Diceros bicornis minor: one gene and its partner. The protein of the gene in region 2 purifies or fractionates together with the protein of the main gene of each other region. This does not show direct contact. Links are inferred from orthologs where the notes say so. Each region holds a gene or a part of one and is shown on either strand. Other genes may lie near its edges.

Region 1 (9,957 bases), on a different chromosome or scaffold from region 2:
GCTGATTACAAATTTACAACTTAGTGCAACAAAAATGTATATTACTAGAGCAAAAATATAATTTGAAAATGCCCTTTCCTAAAAATTTGCATCTTTTTCTCATCCGTGCCACTGTTAGTGAAAATTTAGGTAACGGATTATCATCTTTAGCTAAGTGCTTCGGTACCAAACATTAGCAGTGGCTAACTAATACACTGTTAAATAGCCAATGGAACATAATCTATCTCATTCTATATTACATACATACATGTATTCATTATTTGCCTGATGTTTCCGTGGAGCTTTTATAGCGGTAGAACTAGTGTGCTCCTCTGATAAACAGCTTCTTTAGAAATAGAAAAAAGTAGGTGACAATTGACACATCTGAAATATAGTGAGCCTGCTATGTAATTGTTAAGATATTCTAGTATAATTACTACTGAAGTATAATTACTACTGAAGCTGTCAAAGAAAAAAAAATCCTACATCTACCCCACATCTTGTTTCTAGTTTCAAAGCAGCACATACTTGTTTATTTGCCTCATGGTATTCATCATCACATTATCTTTAGTTTCTGTTATAAATAGCAATAGAAGTAGAGAACATTAAAAAAAAGTATATTAAAAACTAGATCTCAGGTCACCAAAAACGATATAACCTTCACTTCTAGCAAATAAACATAAGATAGTTACTAATAAAGATATTGTTGTCAGAGATGGACAATAATCTCCAACATAAAATGTTTCCATGATAATCTATTTTTATATTTGTAACTGTTCCCTATTTTCCTGATAAAAAATAATTAGTATAACTAAAATATCCATGTTACATTATCATAATCTGATTTCCAAGTCTTAAATGATTCAAGATAGTCAAGCACAAAAGAAACGCCATTACTAAATATTTTCCTTTCTACCATTATTCTTTCAAAATTCTAATAATTCACTTGATGAGAAGTTTCAATAGACTGTATACTATATTTGCCAAATTCATAGCTGAGATGAGGATTACAAAAACATCTAGAAGATGAAAAGTTTCAAAGTATAAATATTCTCTTTCAACAAATAATAAAAAATGTCAAAAAGAAGTCAATTAAAGACTTTATAAATGACAATACAATTTCACCACACTACTAACACAATGTAAAATGTGTGCATGGGTAGACACTACTTTCCACTACCTCTGTAAAAGAGATTTAGATAAAATACTTAAAATCACTATTATGAAGCACACAGAGGATATTTCATAAAACAAGCCCTTCACCTTTAAGAGAGCCACAAATTATAACTCATAAAATCAGTTTTAAGTGTGGCCTCAACTCAATTTTCTTAAGTATGAAATCATAGTACTTAAATTCAGTAAAGAATAATTTTACATAATAAAACTGCACCACCTGAAGTTCTACAAGACACAAAATTGCACAACATAGCTTCATTTTTGTAGGAGTTTTTTTCCCACAAAATCACATGGAATGTCAAGACCACAAATATTAAGCTGTTTGTAGTAAAATCCACTATTTGCAGACTGAAGGCTGGTGCTCTCTCCTCTGATTCTTCTCCATGTTTCCAGCCTCCACCATAGCAGACAATATTTATATCAATAACTTTTCAAGTAAAAACCTCAGAGTTATTTCTGAGTTCAAATATCCATTTTATCATCAAATCGTATTGTCCTGTTACCATTTCTCCCAAACCTGCAACTTCCTTTTCATTCCTTCAGCTACATCCTTATTACTGACCCTAGACTTTTACCACTAAACTATTGTACCTCATTCTTATGAGATAATTCTCAAAATTATCTTTAATTCCACTGCCAAAGTTATCTTCTGTCCTTGACATTTTGCCTCTGCCACCTATCTCACCTCAGCTTTTCAAGGCCGTTGCACTACATTTTTATTCTCCTCAAGAGCCTTATCCTTACCAACATATTCATTTATAAGGTTGCCGCTGACTTTCACCTTGCCTTAAAAATGCCAGTTTCTTTACACTTCTGGTAAATATACTAATTCTCTCTTCAGGTAACACCTTTGCTCCTAATCCATCTGAATATGGAATTCCTTTTACATTTAGCCCCCAAACACAAGAGTATTTATTCAGACAGTTTTAGCACAATAATTACCTACATTATTTCTTTAGCTGTTTGCATATCCATGTTATCCCTCTTGGACTGTAGGGATACAGATAAGGGCTGCATCTTTAAAAGCATTCTGTACAACACCTATCTACTAAGTCACTTGACCCAGGTAAGATGATTCACTAAATGAAGCTATTAGGAAAAGCTTAAATAAACAAAAAATAAATATGTTTTTTTAAAAAAAATCTCTATGGTTTAACTTTAAAACATCTATGACCTTCCATTTCCATGGACAGCTGCCATACTTTGGCTTCTACTAAGCTTCACTCTTACTACTCTATTAATTTTCAAAGCACTAGAATTTAAAGTGTAAGTTGATGGTTGATATAACGTATACACTTTTACACCTCGCGATTAGATTCTTTGAAAATCAGCAATGTCAACTCTAAGAATTCTGAGATATAACTCAATCTTCGCACAAGGCAACTGTTTCAGCACCAAGAGGAGAAAACAGCGCATCTTCTGATTTGGGGGTTCCCTTCCCTGCAACTGGTTTAGACTAGTTTCTGTATCCCAGGGGCTGTCGATTAGGAAAACTCAATAAATCACCATTAACATCTGAAAAGAATACCAGAGAAAGGCAATCCGTTTACTTAAAAGAGAGGAAGGGGTATCTCCACGGATATCTCCTTTTCACAAAACTCGGCAGCCAATTTAGGCTTTGCATTCAGTAACTACCGACAGAGATTTTTTTCTACCTAATAAAAGCAAGTCTCTTTCAATTTAGTCCCTTCTCGAGCACCGTCTCAACCTGTCAGAATTTGACAAGGGGAAAAAAATTAAACAGAAGTGGTGGGGGGAGACACTAGGATTCCCGTCTACATCGCTTCTTTTTCCGAAATCACATCAGTTAAGTCCTGGATTTCCTTCTCTTCGAACTAAGCCCTCAGATGCCAAATATAGTTCCTTAACCCCTGCCTCGCCACTCAATTACACATAAACCTTGCCAACTACAGAACCACAGCAGAAACCCCTACAAATCGGCTGGCTATTCATCTCGGAAGTCATGCCCTGCAGCGACTGCCTATCGCCGAACTGAGAGATATTACCCAAATACAACGCCAGGGAATCAGACATGCAGAGCACACACGGCGTCCGCGAGGGAGGGAAACGCGACCCGGGAAAAGTGCGCTCCTCGCAAACCTCGGGACCATCCAGAGGGGGGGTTCCCAAAAGGGAGGGGGACAGAGGAGCCCGAGTCGGGGAATCCTTCCCTCTCAAGTAAAAAAGGCCGGATCCCTGGCCGCAGGCTGCAGCCCGTCGCTCTAAGGAAAGGAAGGGGCGGGCAGAGGGCCCTTTGCTCGCGAAGGCGGACGGCAGACACTTTCCGAGGTCCGGGTGTAAGCCGAGCCCCCACCTCCCGGGGGAGACGACGGGTGTCCCATGGGTGGCTAAGGGGAAGCCTGGCTCGCGAGGGGCAGCCGGAGGCGGAGCAGAGTTTCGCCGGATGAACCCCCGTGTCGTGTCCGGCCGGTGCCCCGGGCATGCATAGCGAGAGGGCCGCCCGGGTGTGGGGAGGGGAGGGAGGGTGGAAATGGGATTCCCCCCTCTCTCGGAAGAGTACTAGTCGAGGAAGCGCGGGCCCGCCGAGAGTCCAGTGCTTCAGACTGCGGAGCCGGGATCCCGCCGCCTGCGCCGGCAGCAGGAGCCCCGCAGCGCCAGCCGCACCGGCCCCTCGGTCCCCCGGGGCCAGGGACTTTGGCTGCGAAGGAACTGGGGCCTGACATCCCACGGGGCCGGCCCCAGCTCCCGGGGGGCCCCGCGGGAACACCCCAACCTCCAGCAGCTGTCGGCAGTTGTAAAACGCCCTCCCCCGTCCCCCTCGTCAGCCTTCCCTCCTCCCGGGGCCGCAGAGAAGGGTCACCACAGGCGAGAAGCCGGAGGCAAGTCGGGGACAGCGGCCGCGGCGGTCCCGGATCTCCTCCCCCGGTTACCTGTGAGGACTCCGACGCGGATTTGATGGTCGTGGTTAGTGAGGATCATTCCCTCGGTCGCCATGTTTCCCAGCGCAGTCACCGCACTGACAGGAACCGGGAGAAGCTGGAGCACGGAGCGCGCGGGCCGGGAGCGCGCTCGCCTCGGAGAGCGCGAGAGCGAGAGCGCCCGGGGAGCGGGAAAGGAGGGGTGGGGGGCGGCCGAGCGCGCGGCGGCCTGAGCCGGGAGAGGCCGGGCCCGGAGTGCGCGAGTCCGCGGGAGGGGGCGGAGTCAGGGCGCGCGACCCCGAGCCCGGGTCGGAGGCGGAGAGCTGCGAGTAGTGGACGCGGTGGCCTCCCCAGGAGGCGCGCGGAGGCGTCCGAGCGAGGCCGGAGAGGCGCTGGCCGCTCTGCGGAGCGGGAGACCCAGGGCAGCTAGATGGCTGGAGACCGAGGGGAAAGGAGAGCACACGCTCTGGAGGTTGCGGGGGCGGACTCGAGAAAGGGCGGAGCCACAGCGCGAGGCGTGGAACTCGTGGAGAGTGAGGGGAGGAGTGCTAGCTCGTTTGCGGAGTACTGGCAGCGCGAAGGAGCCCGCCCAGCCCGGGGAGGAGCGGAGAACGCTCCTGGGCGCGCGGGTAGCTCCGGATTGGCCGGAAGAACGCGGAGCGGGTGCGCGCGAGACACGAACGCAGCCTCCGCCGCGGCCCAGACAGAAGCAATCCCCTGCCGAGCCGGGCTCCTCGTCGGTTGTCGGCGCCCTGGGCCGGCTCTGGAGGCCGCCGAGCCGCTCTCCCGAGGGAACGAGAGGTGGGCTCAGCGTGCGACGCCTTTCCTCGCAGCCGTCGGGAGCGGCCGGCCGACCCCCTGAAGCCGCCAGAGAACCTGGAGGTAGCTTAGAAAGCTGTCTGGATGGCCGAACCGCGGATACTATGACAGAGAGCCGGCGTGGGCGAAGAAGGAAGTCTGTCCCGCCTCATCTTCCCGCTTGTTTCTTCAGTCGGCTCGCCCTGCCGCAGGATTTCCGCCTCTCCGGTGCTTCAGGATCCCATCTCCAAGTCTGCACCTGCGTGACCATCCTCACAAGGGAAGCTTAGGAGTCTGCGGCACAGCATCTTGAGTGGAGATACCTGGTTTCTTTTCCTCCCGCTGTCCCGTGATTTTGTGGCCTTAAGCGTCATCGCCACGGTCTCTGCTTTTAGATGAAAAGCACCAGTCTTGGAGAATAAGAACGTGTTCCTCCCACCTGAACCACAATCACAAAATTGGAACCTAGGCCGTGGCAATTGAGTTTCATTTCAGTATTTGTGGGATATGAGACGACCATGAAAATAGCTTTGTTGCCACTTATTTTCATGTGTCTTTCATAAAATGTTATTAATCACCTGTGGCTATTTCACATCGGTTTCGTAGTTCCCGTCTTCCTAGCTCTTTCAACTTCTGAATAAAAATTACATACACGCATATGTATATTTTTTCCCTCATGTTCTCAACCATGTTAAAACCTGGGAAGCATAAAAATGAAAGCAAAGTGTCAAAAAATGTATAATCAACGTTTGTATGCAGCTAAAATCTCAGTCAATTTGGTGATTATGAGTTTTTTGTTGTTCCAGTTGGAACATGAGCGTATCCTCTAACTGAAGATTTAGATTGTGATGTATTTCATTTTAAATAATGGGAGTATAAAGGGGATGATTAGTGGATTGACGAGGGGTAAAATAAATTAGTAAAAATTTTTTTGAGTATGTGTATTGCTAGTATTTTTGACAGTGGATTAAAAATCGAAGCCAGATCTTGAACCCACTTCCTATAATAATCTATAACCATACAGCCTGGTGGCTAAGGGATTCTTAACTACTTTCAAATGAGAGATATATATGTGGAAGTATGTCCAACAGAATGGTTTCCTTAATCTCAAACTGAAGACGATGAACAAGTAGTTGGTTACGTTGTTACCTTTCTAACCTATCTTTATTCTCTACAGCACCCTCTGATTTGAAATGATTAGAAAATATCTTGAATTTTTAGAGAGAGAAATTCTAAAGCTGCTCACTAACAGGTCCTGTGACCTTAAACAAGTTTGGACCTTTTTCTTCATCTTTTAAACAAGGTAGTGGACTAAATAAGCACCCCTTAAGTAAAGTGGTAGAGAAAATAAGCACCCTTCAACTTAGAATACTATTCTGCAAATATTCATGGAAAGAAGCTGGCACTTCTATTTCACAAATAAATATAGAAGACAAGGGACTAACTTTCTGCATCTATGAAAATAGTAATGGTGAAATTCATTAAAATTTAATTAGGAAAGGTGAATATGAATTAAGCCTTCTAGCGTACGATATATGGAGGTTTGTTTGCTGAACTACTAAAATTGCTGAAAAAAGTAATATTAATAGAACTAAGCTGGAGAATTATAATAGCTGCTTGTCTTCCAACAATTTTTCTCAAGTATATTCATCTCTGCCAAATTTAGCATGGCGTAACAAAATTTACACAGGAAAAACCCAGTGCCCTTACTATCTAGTATGACCTTCTTTTACTCCTGGTTATTGAATGAATATTGCGGTATGCACATGCTCTTTTATCCCTGTTACAGTGCAACATTTCTTCAAAATTCATCCTGAAATCAAATATTAAAATTTTCTGGAAGGTAGAAAAAGAGTAGCATTTCCAAATATTGACATGTATCAGGAAATATGTTGTGAAGGGGGAAAACCAGAGGTAAAAAAGTTGAAAGTTTGTATGGGAAAAATTAGAAGTGCCCAGGGCTTTATTCTCTCCATTCTTAAGGTTTTAATAATGAAAACTATAGGAGTTTACATTAACTGAAAATTAACATAAAAGATAGGTAAACATCTGGCTTTCATAATGATTTTCCTTATGAAGATGAAACTATCAGTAGAAATGAATTACTGAATGAATGAAGGTTGAATTTTTTCCAGTAGTGTATATACACAACTCTACTGGTACTTGAGTTTTTCTGTGGTTAATCACAATTTCAATATAAATAAGGTTCAAGTTTACTAGGCTTTTCTGGGGTCAGACTCTCCTCATTAGCACTAGATGAGCAAGAATGAATTTGGTAACAGATTATTCTTCCTCTAAGGCATATTCCGCTCTTTCCTCTTTCCTGATTGGCTAATGGCCCAAACTAAAACTAAGGCAATTAAAAATGGGTGCAAGCAACATTTTGAATAAATGTCACTGAGTTGTACACTTTAAAATGGTTAATTTTACGGGCCGGCCCCGTGGCTTAGCGGTTAAGTGCTCGCACTCCGCTGCTGGCAACCCAGGTTTGGATCCCGAGTGCGCACCGATGCACCGCTTCTCCAGCCATGCTGAGGCCATGTCCCACATGCAGCAACTAGAAGGATGTGCAGCTATGACATACAACTATCTACTGGGGCTTTGGGGGAAAAAATAAATAAATAAAATTATTTTTAAAATGGTTAATTTTATGTGTATTTAGCACAATAAAAAAAAAATGGGTGCAAGGTGAAGCTCTGGTTGATTTTAACCTGTTTTTCCCCAAAGGAAGCTAGATTATAGTGAAGATGAATTTTAGACTGGCTGAATCAGAGAGTGTATTAGTTCCTAGGGCTGCTGTAACTAAGTACCACAAACTGAGTGGCTTAAAACAACAGAAATTTATTCTCTCACAGTTCTGGAAGCTAGAAGTCTGAAATCAAGCTGTCAGTAAAGCCATACTCCCTCTGAAGGCTCTAGGGAAGAATTCTTCATTGCCTCTTTCCAGCCTCTGGTGGTTGCCAGCAATCCCTGGCCTTCCTTGGCTTGTGGCTGCATCCCTCCCATCTTGGTCTCTGTCTTCACATGTCTTTCTTCCCTGTGTGTATCTTGCCCTTCTTATAAGGATACCAGTCATTGGATTTAAGGCCCACTGTAATCCAGTATGACCCAATTTTAACTAGTTACATCTACAAAGACTCTATTTCCAAATAAGGTCATATTCTGAAGTTCTGTGTAGATGTGAAACTTGGAGGGACACTATTCAACCCAGTACAGGCAGTGATAGATTACATTACTGTGTATTCTCATGAAAACATATAAATTAGAAATTCAACCTATCAGAAAAGAAGGTTCAAAGCTTTCTTTAAAAGCTAGGATTTAGAAATTAGACATACTCTTGGAGGAAGTACAGATGTATAGAATAGAGAATATGGGTAAATTTTTAATATTTGACCTAAGTAGCCTAATGCTTTTCCCCCAGAAATAGTTTTCTAAATTAGAGTTTTCCCAAGTCTGATGAGATAAATTTACTCATTCCTACTAATGAAATTGACATTTTGCTTTCAGTTCTGATGCCTTTGTTATCTTTTAGGGAAGAGAGGCTGAACCACCTCAATTGCTCATGGAGTTTGATGGAACTTATTTGGGAACAACTAGGATAATGTTTTTCAATGTCTGCCATGTTTATTAAAATAAAGTTGAACTTTTCCTTGTACTTTTGCTATTAAATTTCTGCTGCCCAGATTGCTGCTTGAAAAATTGTTTTGTGCCCTGGTCTTTTGTATTTTTCCCAACTTTACTCTCTTTCTCTGAGGTCCCAACTGGAAATTCAGATGTACAAGAACGTTTTTGGTTGCAAATGACTGATCCTAGTATAAGCCAAAACGAATTCATTGGCTCATGCAGGTAGGAAGTCTAGATATGTGTATTGCTTCAGGATGTGGCTAGATTCAAGATCTGAAACTATGTCATCAAGATGCCATCTTTCAGCTATGTTTTCTTCTTTGTTGATTTAATTTTCACATTGGCTCTTCCTACATTGTGGCAAAGATGGTATTGGCTTCTCTAGGCTATAATTTAGATCAATAGTTTTTGAGTCAGTCTGGGAATACCTGGAGACCCAAAGACCCTTTCAGAGGTTCTGCAAGGTCAAAAATGTTTTCATACTAATATTAAGGCATTATTTGTCTTTCCACTCTCATTTTCTCATTAGACACAGTGAAATTTTCCAGAGGCTACATGATGTGTAATGATATCATCACTCTGATAGCTAATGGAATGTGTATTTGTATAGTTTTATATTTTAAAAAATTAGCATAGTAAATATGAATAGATATAATAGATATAAGCTATATTTTTAAGGGTGCAAAGAGGTCCTGAGACCAATATCTTGAGAACCATAGATTTAGATCATGTCCCTATCCCCAAAGGCAAGGGGAAAGGCATTCTCTGATTGGTTAGATTTCGGTCATGTACTCACCCAGAGAATGGGCATCAGGTGCACCCCTACCAAACGGACTAAGATCAAGGAAGGATGGATCTAGGTACTGTATGTAAGGCTAGTGCCTTGACACATTAGCAGTTAGTTCAACTCTTCTTACAGACTCCTATGGCTCTCCACCATTACTATAGATTTTGTTCTTTTCTAAGGGCTCTAATTTATACCTTTAGTACTACTTGCATGTTAATAAAGAAACTGGGAACAAAAAATTTTGATTTCTAAAGAAAGCATTGGTTTTTCTCCCTTCTTAATTCAAAGAAAGTGTAGACTATAAGGGAGGAGGACAATATTTGCTAGAAGAGGAAAGAATTATTAGATAAGAGAAAGGAGAGTGAAATTTGTTAAAAGAAAAAGTAACATTAAGTGACCAGAAGCTATTTGGTTTCTTAAATGGGCTCTGTCTACAGGGCCTTCAATCTGTAGGATTCAGTAGATATAGGTCAAGAAAAGATAGTCCCAAGCTTAACAATTGACATGAATTGAGTTTAAGTGAACTTTTTAAAACAAAAGCATCGTGCTTTTCTAAATTATTATTATTAATAATCGGTTTCCATGTAATTAAACTTAAAGTCCAATTGTTACCAGACACATACCCAGGTTCTTTACCCACCACACAAGAGGGGCCAAATAAAACTGGAACGCCAGGCTTATGGCAAAGAAAGAGTTTTTATTTTAGGTGACGTC
Region 2 (9,943 bases):
TGTAAGTAGGCGCCAGGTCACAGAGAGCTCCTAATGCCATGGTTAAGGAGGGTTTACATTTGAGAAAGATCCTTGGAAAAGTATGGTGAGTGGACTGAAGAGAGAAGAATAAATGCAAGGAAATCAAGACAGTGAACCACCGCAGGAACCCTCCAAGACTCAATGGTGGACTGAAGTAAGATAGTGGCAGTAGGGATTCAAGACATTCATCTAAGGGACACAATAATAAGACAAACTTTGCTGTTGGAGAAGATAAACAATAAACAACAATAAAAGCATACCCTTTGAAAGAGTTACTAAGAAAATAACACACTATGAAAGAGAATAATGGAGGGGCTTACTTTACAAGGGGTCAGGTGTTAGGAAAGGCTTCTTAGAGACGGCATTTATGCTGAGAACAAAAGAGTAAAAAGGCCCTAAAAGCAAAAGAGAGGAGAAAAATTAAGTAGAAAGAAAAAAAGCTTGCGCATTCCAGGAGGACCACTGTGGCTACTAAGCCTTGTAAACTGGGGAAGAGTAGCACAAGATGAGGCTGAAGAGCAGGATTAGGAGCTTTTTACTCCAAATAAAAGACGATGACACTGCAGGATTTTAAGTAAGCAATCAAGACAACACATTTGGAGCTATTACAACAGTCTAAATGTGAAAGCAATGGAGGCAGAGAAAAGAAGACACATTGGAGGTCCCGGCCCCGTGGCTTAGCGGTTGGGTGTGCGCGCTCCGCTGCTGGCGGCCCAGGTTCGGATCCCGGGCGCGCACCGACGCACCGCTTCTCTGGCCATGCTGAGGCCGCGTCCCACACACAGCAACTAGAAGGATGTGCAGCTATGACATACAACTATCTACTGGGGCTTTGGGGGGAACAAAAATAAATAAATAAAATCTTTAAAAAAAAAGAGATTCTGCAATTTTAAAATCACAAGAGGAGCGTTATCTGAGGACAGTGCCCTTTTCAACAATATCCAAAAAACACTTCTCACTATGTTTTACGTCATTGACAAGAAATGCCTTTGTTGTCTAAATTTTCAAAGTTCAACAAACATTTACCCAACTCAAAATTCCACACTGGGGAGGGGAAGGAGCATGTTAACGCCTTCTTCACAGTTTATAAAGACAAATTAGTAGCAGAGTAAAAACTGGCTTAAGGCTCAGATTATGGGCTAAACTATTCTGTTAACATTGTCTGAGACATTCTATTAAAGTTTTAGCTACATTACCAACTGAAATTTGGGACTAGAACCCTGTGGTTAAAAAAGAAAAGAGTAGGGGCTGGCCCCGTGGCTTAGCGGTTAGGTGTGCGCGCTCTGCTGCTGGCGGCCCGGGTTCGGATCCCGGGCACGCACCGATGCACCGCTTGTCCGGCCGTGCTATGGCAGCGCCCCACATACAGCAACTAGAAAGATGTGCAACTATGACATGCAACTATCTACTGGGGCTTTGGGGAGAAAAAGGGAAAAAAAGGAGGAGGATTGGCAATAGGTGTTAGCTCAGGGCCGGTCTTCCTCAGCAAAAAGAGGAGGATTGGCATGGATGTTAGCTCAGGGCTGATCTTCCTCACAAAAAAAAAAAAAAAAGAAAAGAGTAAATATCTAGAAAGGGCACCTTTCTCTTCTTTCAGCAGGACCCTCTCCGAAAAGCGTGATGGGCTCCCCCAAGGCCCGAAGGCAAGCCTTGACCTCCGAGTCATCTGTGGAAACGTTGATTTGCCGGGCTCGCTTCCTTCTCTCAAACTCGGCTAATACTTCAGCCTGTCGCTCACTGATGTGCTCTTCAATTTCAAACACTTCTCCTATAAAAAGAACAGGAAACATCAGCATAATCACCAGATCTTCTTCAAATAGAGGAAAAGAAATAATTTCTCACAATTAGAGTCTGTGTATGCTACTAGGGAAAGTCAACTGTCTAATCTATTAAGCACTTTATAGATATAGTTTACTCTTTCTCAGTTTATTAAATTATGCCAAACACAGAAAATTAAATGATACAGCTTTAAGAGGCAGGAAAATGGTTCAAGTCATGTTGTTTGATTTGGCAACCTTACACCCATATAAACACACAGCTTACATGAGATGAGAAAGAGTACGGAGCATCTTTAGCAAATGAGTTAAATGGCTCTTCTATCCAGAAGATAAAATAGAAATGCGGTTTTAACAATTGCCAAAGCTATTCTCTAAAACAGTCCCAGTATCGGGACACTTACAAATGAAACTAGTAAACTAGAAAGAATTACCATGAAAATGATATTCCTTGACTCGAAGGCTTTTTGGATAATCTAGCAGCTGGTTTTTTTTTTTTTTTTTTGTGAGGAAGATCAGCCCTGAGCTAACATCCACGCCAATCCTCCTCTTTTTTGCTGAGGAAGACTGGTCCTGAGCTAACACCTATCGCCATTCCCCCTCCTTTTTCTCCCTTTTTCTCCCCAAAGCCCCAGTAGACAGTTGTATGTCATACTTGCACATCCTTCTAGTTGCTGCATGTGTGACGCTGCCTCAGCATGGCTGGACAAGCAGTGCGTCGGTGCGCACCCGAGATCTGAATGCGGGCCGTCAGTAGCGGAGCGCGAGCACTTAACCGCTAAGTCACGGGGCCGGCCCCTCTAGCAGCTAGTTTTAAAACTCACACCAAATACAAGCATTTGGATGAAAAATGAGAAGAACAGCGGTGATGCAGTTATGTTTAAAAACAGCATAAATGGTTAAAAATGTCTGTAAAGTGCATGTGTATAGAAAAGAAAATGTGTAGGAGGATCAATGAGAAACCTGAAAGAGATCCTTTCTGCAAAGAAATCTTTTCATTTTATACCATTCTGTACTGTCTGAATTTATGACAAACATGTATAATTTTATTTTAAAAATACAGTAGGCCACCAGTTACTGACATGGAAAGATATCCTCAATAGTACATAGAGTATAAAATACAAGTTACAAAACTATTTGTATATCATGGTTTCATTTATGGAAAAAAATTATACATTTTCATAGCTTTATTAAATTCTCAGAAAGATATACACCCAATTAATAAGCATTACAGGATTTTATACTTCACAATTCTACATTGTTTGATATTTTTCAAAATAAAAATAACTATTACTTATATAATTTAAAAAACATTTCATTTTGAGGGAAAAGTAATTGCAAAACTAAAAAAACGGAGAATATTATGAACGACAGTAGCTCCAAACCAATGCCAGAACTATGCTAGATCTCCAGAAGACAAACGGAATCACTTTGAAGCCAAATACACGCTGAATAAACTCCTGACAAAATTACTAACAATTCACGGAAGAAAAACTGTATAAAAGGTTTTAAGAAAAAGGCGTTCTGGATGATGATAAGCGGGGTAGGCAAAGTAAAACCTTACACAGATGCAAGTTTAAAACTGCAATTTTATGACACTATAAAACTAGTGATATCTAAGTTTAGGAAGGTATTCATTACAGAAAAGTTGAGCACCAAAGGTAAACATGGACTCACAATTTGCATCTTACCAGAGGTTATGTTAATATTTCCTGCTTCAATTCCTGCTTTAAGTCCTTCTTTTCCCAAAATCCCAGACTCTCCTTTGGCCAGACGCTCCCTCTCCTTCTCTTCCAAACTTCCATAATAGATGTGTGGCTTCTTCACAACAGGAGCGACTAAGTCATCAGGTGCCTTAGTTTTGGTCGCCTGCTAAATCAAAGACCTGGATTAACCTAAGGCTTCACCTTAGCAATTTACCGGCCTTCCCCAAAGGATGAGGCTCATCCTGAGCGTCAGTCCTATTTCTTCCCGAACGGAAACGACAAGTTGGACACCTTAAGATGCGTTTTCACTGATTGAGGGGGGTGTTTCTCAATCACTTAAGTTTTGCAGACAGGAAGAAGTTGAGGATACTCGTGCATTTCTCTTGGTGATTTTCCTATCAAAGGTTTGCTTTTAAACACGTTTACTTCATTCTGTTGGAAGTGCAATGTCTTCTGCGGTTTTACGACACTTCCAGGGTTATTGCTCATCACAGGGGAAATATCAAGGATAACTGAAATAGCCAAGGCGATGTAAGGGGGAAACAAGTTACAAAGATGCTGGTCTATACACTTCAAACGTTTTCAGACGTCAGGCTGTAGATAGGAAGAAAGAAGGCCTCATTACAATTAAGAGGTCTGACACGGACATACATCTCGGCCAAGGCACTACGTCCTCCCTTTCAGAGCTGCGTTTTTGGACCCGTGGGAAGAGATATTTACCGTTCGCGGGTGTAGCGAGTGATGCAAATAAGCTAAAGCGCATGAAAGCGCTGAGGGATCGGGAACACGCTGCTCCTCCTCACACCTCCACCGCCTAGCCCGTTCCCTAACGGCCCCATCCCGCTGGACTCCCCACCCCTCGGCGCTCCCTGCCAGAGTGAGCTGAGCTCTGTACCGTGGAGGAGGCTCGTGAGGAAGCCATGCCGAGCTCTGGAGCCGCGAAGCCCCAGCGAAACTCGACCTCTACGTTTCAGACCGTCCACCGCGCGCCCAGCAAAGCGGAACTGCGTCACCTACCGGAAGTGGGCCGACAGCCGGCGCAGCATCGTGGGCGGCGTGGAGCATGACGGGAGTCGTAGTAGGACAGATTCTGGGCGCGTCGAGAGGCGTGGCTTGTAGTCCTCCGAGGAAAGCACGCGGAGGACGAGGTTCTGCGAGGAGAGAGGTTGAGAGTAGTCTGGGAAGTGTAGTCCAGCTGGCCTGGCAGAAGAGTCGTAGTGGGCGCCGAGGTTCTGGGAAGGGGCTGAGCAGCCTTGAAAAGAGGTAGGTGCGTCGAGGCGCGCGGCTCCGGGCTGAACTCGGGAGCGAATCTAGGGCTTCCGGGGCCTGCGGTCCCTCCCGGCCCGACGCGCGGCTTTACGTCATCCTGGAGCGGAGGTCCCTGTTGCCATGGAAACCGTCACCCTGGACCCCGGGTGCTGCCCTGGAGCTGCGGAAGGAGAGCTGTGCTCGTTCTCCGCTGTCGGGAAGTCCTCTGCCAGGGGCTCCCTCTGAGCTGGATGAATTCGAGCAGTGGCGAGAGAAACAGCTCGAAGAGCACTCTAGCTCCAAAGTAGAATAAAGACCCGGCGGAGGAGCCAGGGCCTGATTTTGTTGTTTGTCTTCAGCCCAGTCTTTGTATCAGATTCAGAGTGAGATGATGGATGTGAGGCGTCAGGTAATCTGCACGCAAGCAACTCTGCATGGCCCTGCCTTCCGCTGCGTGCTGGGGCATCAGAGATGAACAAGACGAGGCTTTTGCCCCCATGGCGAGGGTGGAGATGCTTAAAATGTTGGTGTTTCCCGAGCTGACAGAGCCCCTCCCCGCCCCTACGCCCAAGGACAATTACAATAATAATGGCTGTTATTTATTGAGCGTTTACTAAATGCCAAGTTATGTTCCTGGAACTTACTTTGCATTACGTCATTGAATCCATACAACAACAGAGTACGGTTACAGAAACTAAAATCCAGTGAAGGATGAAGCTAATTGTTTGTGATAAGTGGTGGATGGGATTAGAACCTCTGCCCTCTGCCCTTTTGCCTCTAGAGAGCACTTGTACCCATTACTCTATATTGCTTCATAGAATTTTTCACAGTTTGCCGAAGAGTTAAAATGCAAAGCAGTTTTTTCTTTCTTTTACGCATCCACCGCTCCCACCGCCCCCCTCGAACTTTGGCTCCCTCTACCACTTGCCTACACTGGAATCAAGATATTATCTGATTTAATGTAAAGCAATTTGAAATGTAATGTGCTGGTGTTTTGGGTTGATAATATCACCTGTATTTATCTGATAATATCACCTAAGCTTCGTGGGAGAAGGAAACATTTCTTCCTTTGTATATTTCACAGTCCTTGATACATCCTGGATACATGTAATAATAATTTATGTCTGTAAAAACTTTAAAGGAGCTTTCACTTACATCATTCTCATTACATTAGTCAGTTACATCAATCATCTTACATCAATCCTCACCGTGGAACGTATGTATAATTTTTATAGGAGGCTGACATTTATTAACCAAACTGAACAGCTTCGACGTCATCTGTAAAATAGGGGTAATTTTGTTGGTGTCACAGTTTCTATGTTAAAATAAAAATGTAAAGAATGGGAATGGAAAAGCATAGCACAGTGCTGAAGAAAAGTTCATTTCACTTTAATTGGATCTCAGTTTATTCAACAAAACGTTTACTGACTGGTGATTATAGATACACTCTACTGGATGCTGTGGAGAATATGAAGATGCAATCCACAGATTTTAAACTCAGTTGGGGAGTTTTATTTTCTTCTCAAAAAAATGTTTTTTGTTAGCATAAGCATTACCTAGGGTTTTCAAGCTCTGGAGGGTTCTCTTGAGCCTCTTTGCGTATTTGTTCTCTCTGCCTGGAATGCCCTTAATCTCTTTACTCTGTCTGTCCTTAACCAGTCAACTAAGACATCATCTCTTCCAGGAAGCCCTCCACATTCCTGTCCATCTCACACTCAGCCCAGACTGGATTGGTGCCTGTTTGGTGCCATTGCGTTACCCTTGCCAGAGTTTTATTACACTGTGTTGCAATTTTCTGTTTATGTGTTTGTTTTCCCCACTGACTGTGACTGTGCCTTTTAACTCTGTAGCTGGAGCACAAGAATTGTTTGTTTAATGAATGACATATCCATTTAGGACCTAATTAGATCCTTAGGACAACTCTGTGAATTGGTGAGTTAGAGGGAGTTTTCGTGAGATTTAGTAAATTTATTTTAGCATTTGGGGGTGATCACAAATCTCTCACAATTCTCATGTAGTGTTGATCAAATTTAATGGCTTATATACTCTCCCACTGACTATACTGAATTAAGATGTGATCTTTTAACTTTATTCTCTTAGCTAGAATATTTCTCTGAATGTGACAGGAGCATGAGATTAAAGTGATTGTTACCTAGAATTCTCTTTTATAGGTAGTTTGGCGTTTTAAGTTCTTGAAGAAAGAGTTTTTTGGAATTACAAAGTTGTGGATCTCAATCATGTAATAAAAATGTAATAATCATACACCAAAAGTCTTAGAAGTCTATGTGTGAATCCAAATGAATCTTTTTTTTTTTTTGTGAGGAAGATCAGCCCTGAGCTAACATCTGCCAATCCTCCTCTTTTTGCTGAGGAAGACTGGCCCTGGGCTAATGTCCATGCCCATGTTCCTCTACTTTATATGGGACGCCGCCACCGCATGGCTTGACAAGCGGTGCGTCGGTGTGGCCCGGGTCCGAACCCCGGGCTGCCGCAGCAGAGCATTCGCACTCAAGGGCTACGCCACCAGGCCGGCCCCAAATGAATCTTTTTTATTGCCATTCATTTTAGCAAGCATGCGTACAAACTGATCTTACATTTGCAGCTGAGATTTATCCCCTCCAGTTTTTCCTTCTCTCTGCCTTTTTAACAGCTAATAGTTCACTGGGTCTGGCCTTTGATGTTGATTTCAACATGCTGCGACGAAAACCAACCCGCCTGGAGCTGAAGCTTGATGACATTGAGGAGTTTGAGAGCATTCGAAAGGACCTGGAGGTAAGAGCACAACTTTCAAACCCTTAGGAATATTTAAAACTCCAACTTTTGAACTCCAGACTCTTGTACCAGCAGCTTATTTGAAATCTCTATTTGGACGCTTTACAGCCTCTCAAACTTAATGTATTAGTTTCCTGTGGCTGCCGTAACAAATTACTACACACTTGGTGGTTTCAAACAACAGAAATTTATTCTTTCACAGTTCTGTAGGCCGGAAATGTGAAATCAGTATCACTGGTCCAAAATCAAGGTGTCAGCAGGACTGTGCTCCCTGCAGTCTCTAGGGGAGAATCCGTTCCTCGACCCTTCTAGCTTCTGGTGGCCGCTAGCATTCCTTGACTCGTGGCTGCATCACTCCAATCTCTGCCTCCCTGATCACATTGCCTTCTCCTCTGTCTGTGTCCCACTGCCCCTCTAATAAGGATATATGTAATGGCATTTAGGGCCCACACAGATAATCCAGGATAACGCCCCCACCTCAAGATCCCTAATTTAATCACATGTGTATAGTCCCTTTTCCCATATAAGGCAACATTTTCAGGTTCCAGGGCTTAGGACCTGATAGCTTTGGGGGTCATTATTCAGCCTACTACACTTAACATGTTAAAACAAAAAACTCTTTGATTTCTTCCTCAAACCAGTTTCACCTCAGTGTTCCCCATCTCAGTCTCTGGGCAGTTGCTCAAGCCAGAAACCTGAGTCCCCCTTTTCCTCCCCCTTTGTATTCAATCTGTCCATAAATCTTTGATTTTACCTCCAGAATATTTCCAGAATTTACCCATGTTTTCATCTCCACTGCACAACCCTAGTCCAAGTAACCATCATCTCTCTGTACAATTTCAGTAGCATCCTAAAAATGGTCTTTCTGCTTCCATTTTTGTCTCTTCAATCCATTCTCCATCAGGTATCTAGAATGATCTTTAAAAATTTTCAGATCATGTCATCCCTCTCCTTAAAACTCTTCAGTGGTTTTCTGCACTTAGAATAAAATCTGAATTCCTTATCATGGCCTACAAGATGTGTTTGTTCCGGCCCTTCTCAGGTTTCACCTCCTGCCACTCTGCCTTGCCCTCTGTACCCCAGGCACACTGGCTTGCTTTCATTTCCTTCAAGATGCCAAACTATTCATTACCTGTGGCCTCTGCACATATTATTTCCTTCTGCCTTTAGTGCTCCCCCTCTCTTCATGTCTCAGTTTAAATGTCATTTCCTTAGTCTGACAGGCCTCTTCTGAGCCTATCTTAGTTAGCTGTATCAATCCTATCCATGCTGCCTCCATCTCATTAGGGTCTCTCACAGCACTTTATTCTTTTATTTCATGGCATTTATTATAATTTACAATGATTTGTTTGTTTATTGTAAAACCAATTACATTAGGAACCTTGATGGTGGAAATCATGTCTGTCTTCTTTACCACTTAGTTCCCAGCATCTTGTAAATAGTAGGAGCTTGATATGTTTTTTTTTTCCTGAGGAAGATTAGCCCTGAGCTAACATCTGTTGCCAATCCTCCTCTTTTTTGCTGAGGAAGATTGGCCCTGGGCTAACATCCGTGCCCATCTTCCTCTACTTTATATGGGACGCCACCACAGCATGGCTTGACAAGTGATGTGTAGGTCCGTGCCCAGCATCCGAACCTGTGAACCCCAGGCTGCTCAAATGGAGTGTGCAAACTTAACTGCTATGCCACCAGGCCGGCCCTGACCAATCTTCCTCTTTTTGCTTGAGGAAGATTCACCCTGAGCTAACATATGTGCCAGTCTGCCTCTGTTTTGTGTGTGGGTTGCTGCCACAGCATGGCCACTGACGAGTGGTATAGGTCCGTGCCCGGGGACCGAACCCAGGGTGCCGAAGCAGAGTGCACCGAACTTAACCACTAGGCCACAGGGCCGGCCCCCTCAGTATGTATTTTAAAGTGTAACCTAACCCCACAGTATTAGATGTCCATTAATAAGGCTTAAATTCTTTAGTGGCCTTCAGAATAAGGTCCAGATTCCTTAGGCACGCAACGCCCTTTATGACCTGGTCCTTGCTCATTACTCCACTTTATCTCCCGCTGCTGCATTATCTTTAACTTGAATCTCAGTGCCTCTGCACATTCTGTTCCTTTTGCCTGAAATGCCCTTTCTCTTTCTTTGCCTGCCTAACACCTCATCTTTTGACTCAGCTCCTTCCAGCCAGAAGTCTTCCTAGTCTACCTGTCCCCCGCTGGGTTAGGTTCAACCTCTTCCTCCTGTGCTGACCTCTCTCGTAGGCACTATCACTCTGTTTTAACTATTTGTGTTTCTGTTTTCCCCCACTAGGCCATATGCTCTTTGAAGGCACGAATTAATATATTCTTCTCTGCATCTGTTCCCGGCAGTACCAGGCCCAAAGGAGATGCTCAATACAAGTCTGTTTTCATTTGCTGTCCTAGGAGATA

What was found. The genes of interacting proteins can lie anywhere in the genome.
Region 1: the proteins of PRPF4 (region 2) and GPHN purify together in Homo sapiens (affinity purification with mass spectrometry; 3 studies listed by BioGRID and IntAct, counting the BioPlex papers as one, with this or other methods). This does not show direct contact. The link is inferred for Diceros bicornis minor from reciprocal best matches to the Homo sapiens genes PRPF4 and GPHN.

Annotation. Positions count from the first base shown.
Region 1 is NC_080763.1:15,243,944-15,253,900, reverse strand, and holds the start of GPHN (gephyrin), read right to left. Parts: upstream 4,573-9,957; 5' UTR 4,111-4,572; coding exon 4,047-4,110; intron 1-4,046. UniProt on the Homo sapiens protein: Microtubule-associated protein involved in membrane protein-cytoskeleton interactions. It is thought to anchor the inhibitory glycine receptor (GLYR) to subsynaptic microtubules.
Region 2 is NC_080767.1:21,523,258-21,533,200, reverse strand, and holds the start of PRPF4 (U4/U6 small nuclear ribonucleoprotein Prp4), read right to left. Parts: upstream 4,649-9,943; 5' UTR 4,568-4,648; coding exon 4,520-4,567; intron 4,495-4,519; exon of another isoform or gene 4,425-4,494; coding exon of another isoform or gene 4,398-4,424; intron 3,669-4,397; coding exon 3,488-3,668; intron 1,790-3,487; coding exon 1,603-1,789; intron 1-1,602. Other genes in the region: anaphase-promoting complex subunit CDC26, read left to right, coding at 7,442-7,522. UniProt on the Homo sapiens protein: Plays a role in pre-mRNA splicing as component of the U4/U6-U5 tri-snRNP complex that is involved in spliceosome assembly, and as component of the precatalytic spliceosome (spliceosome B complex).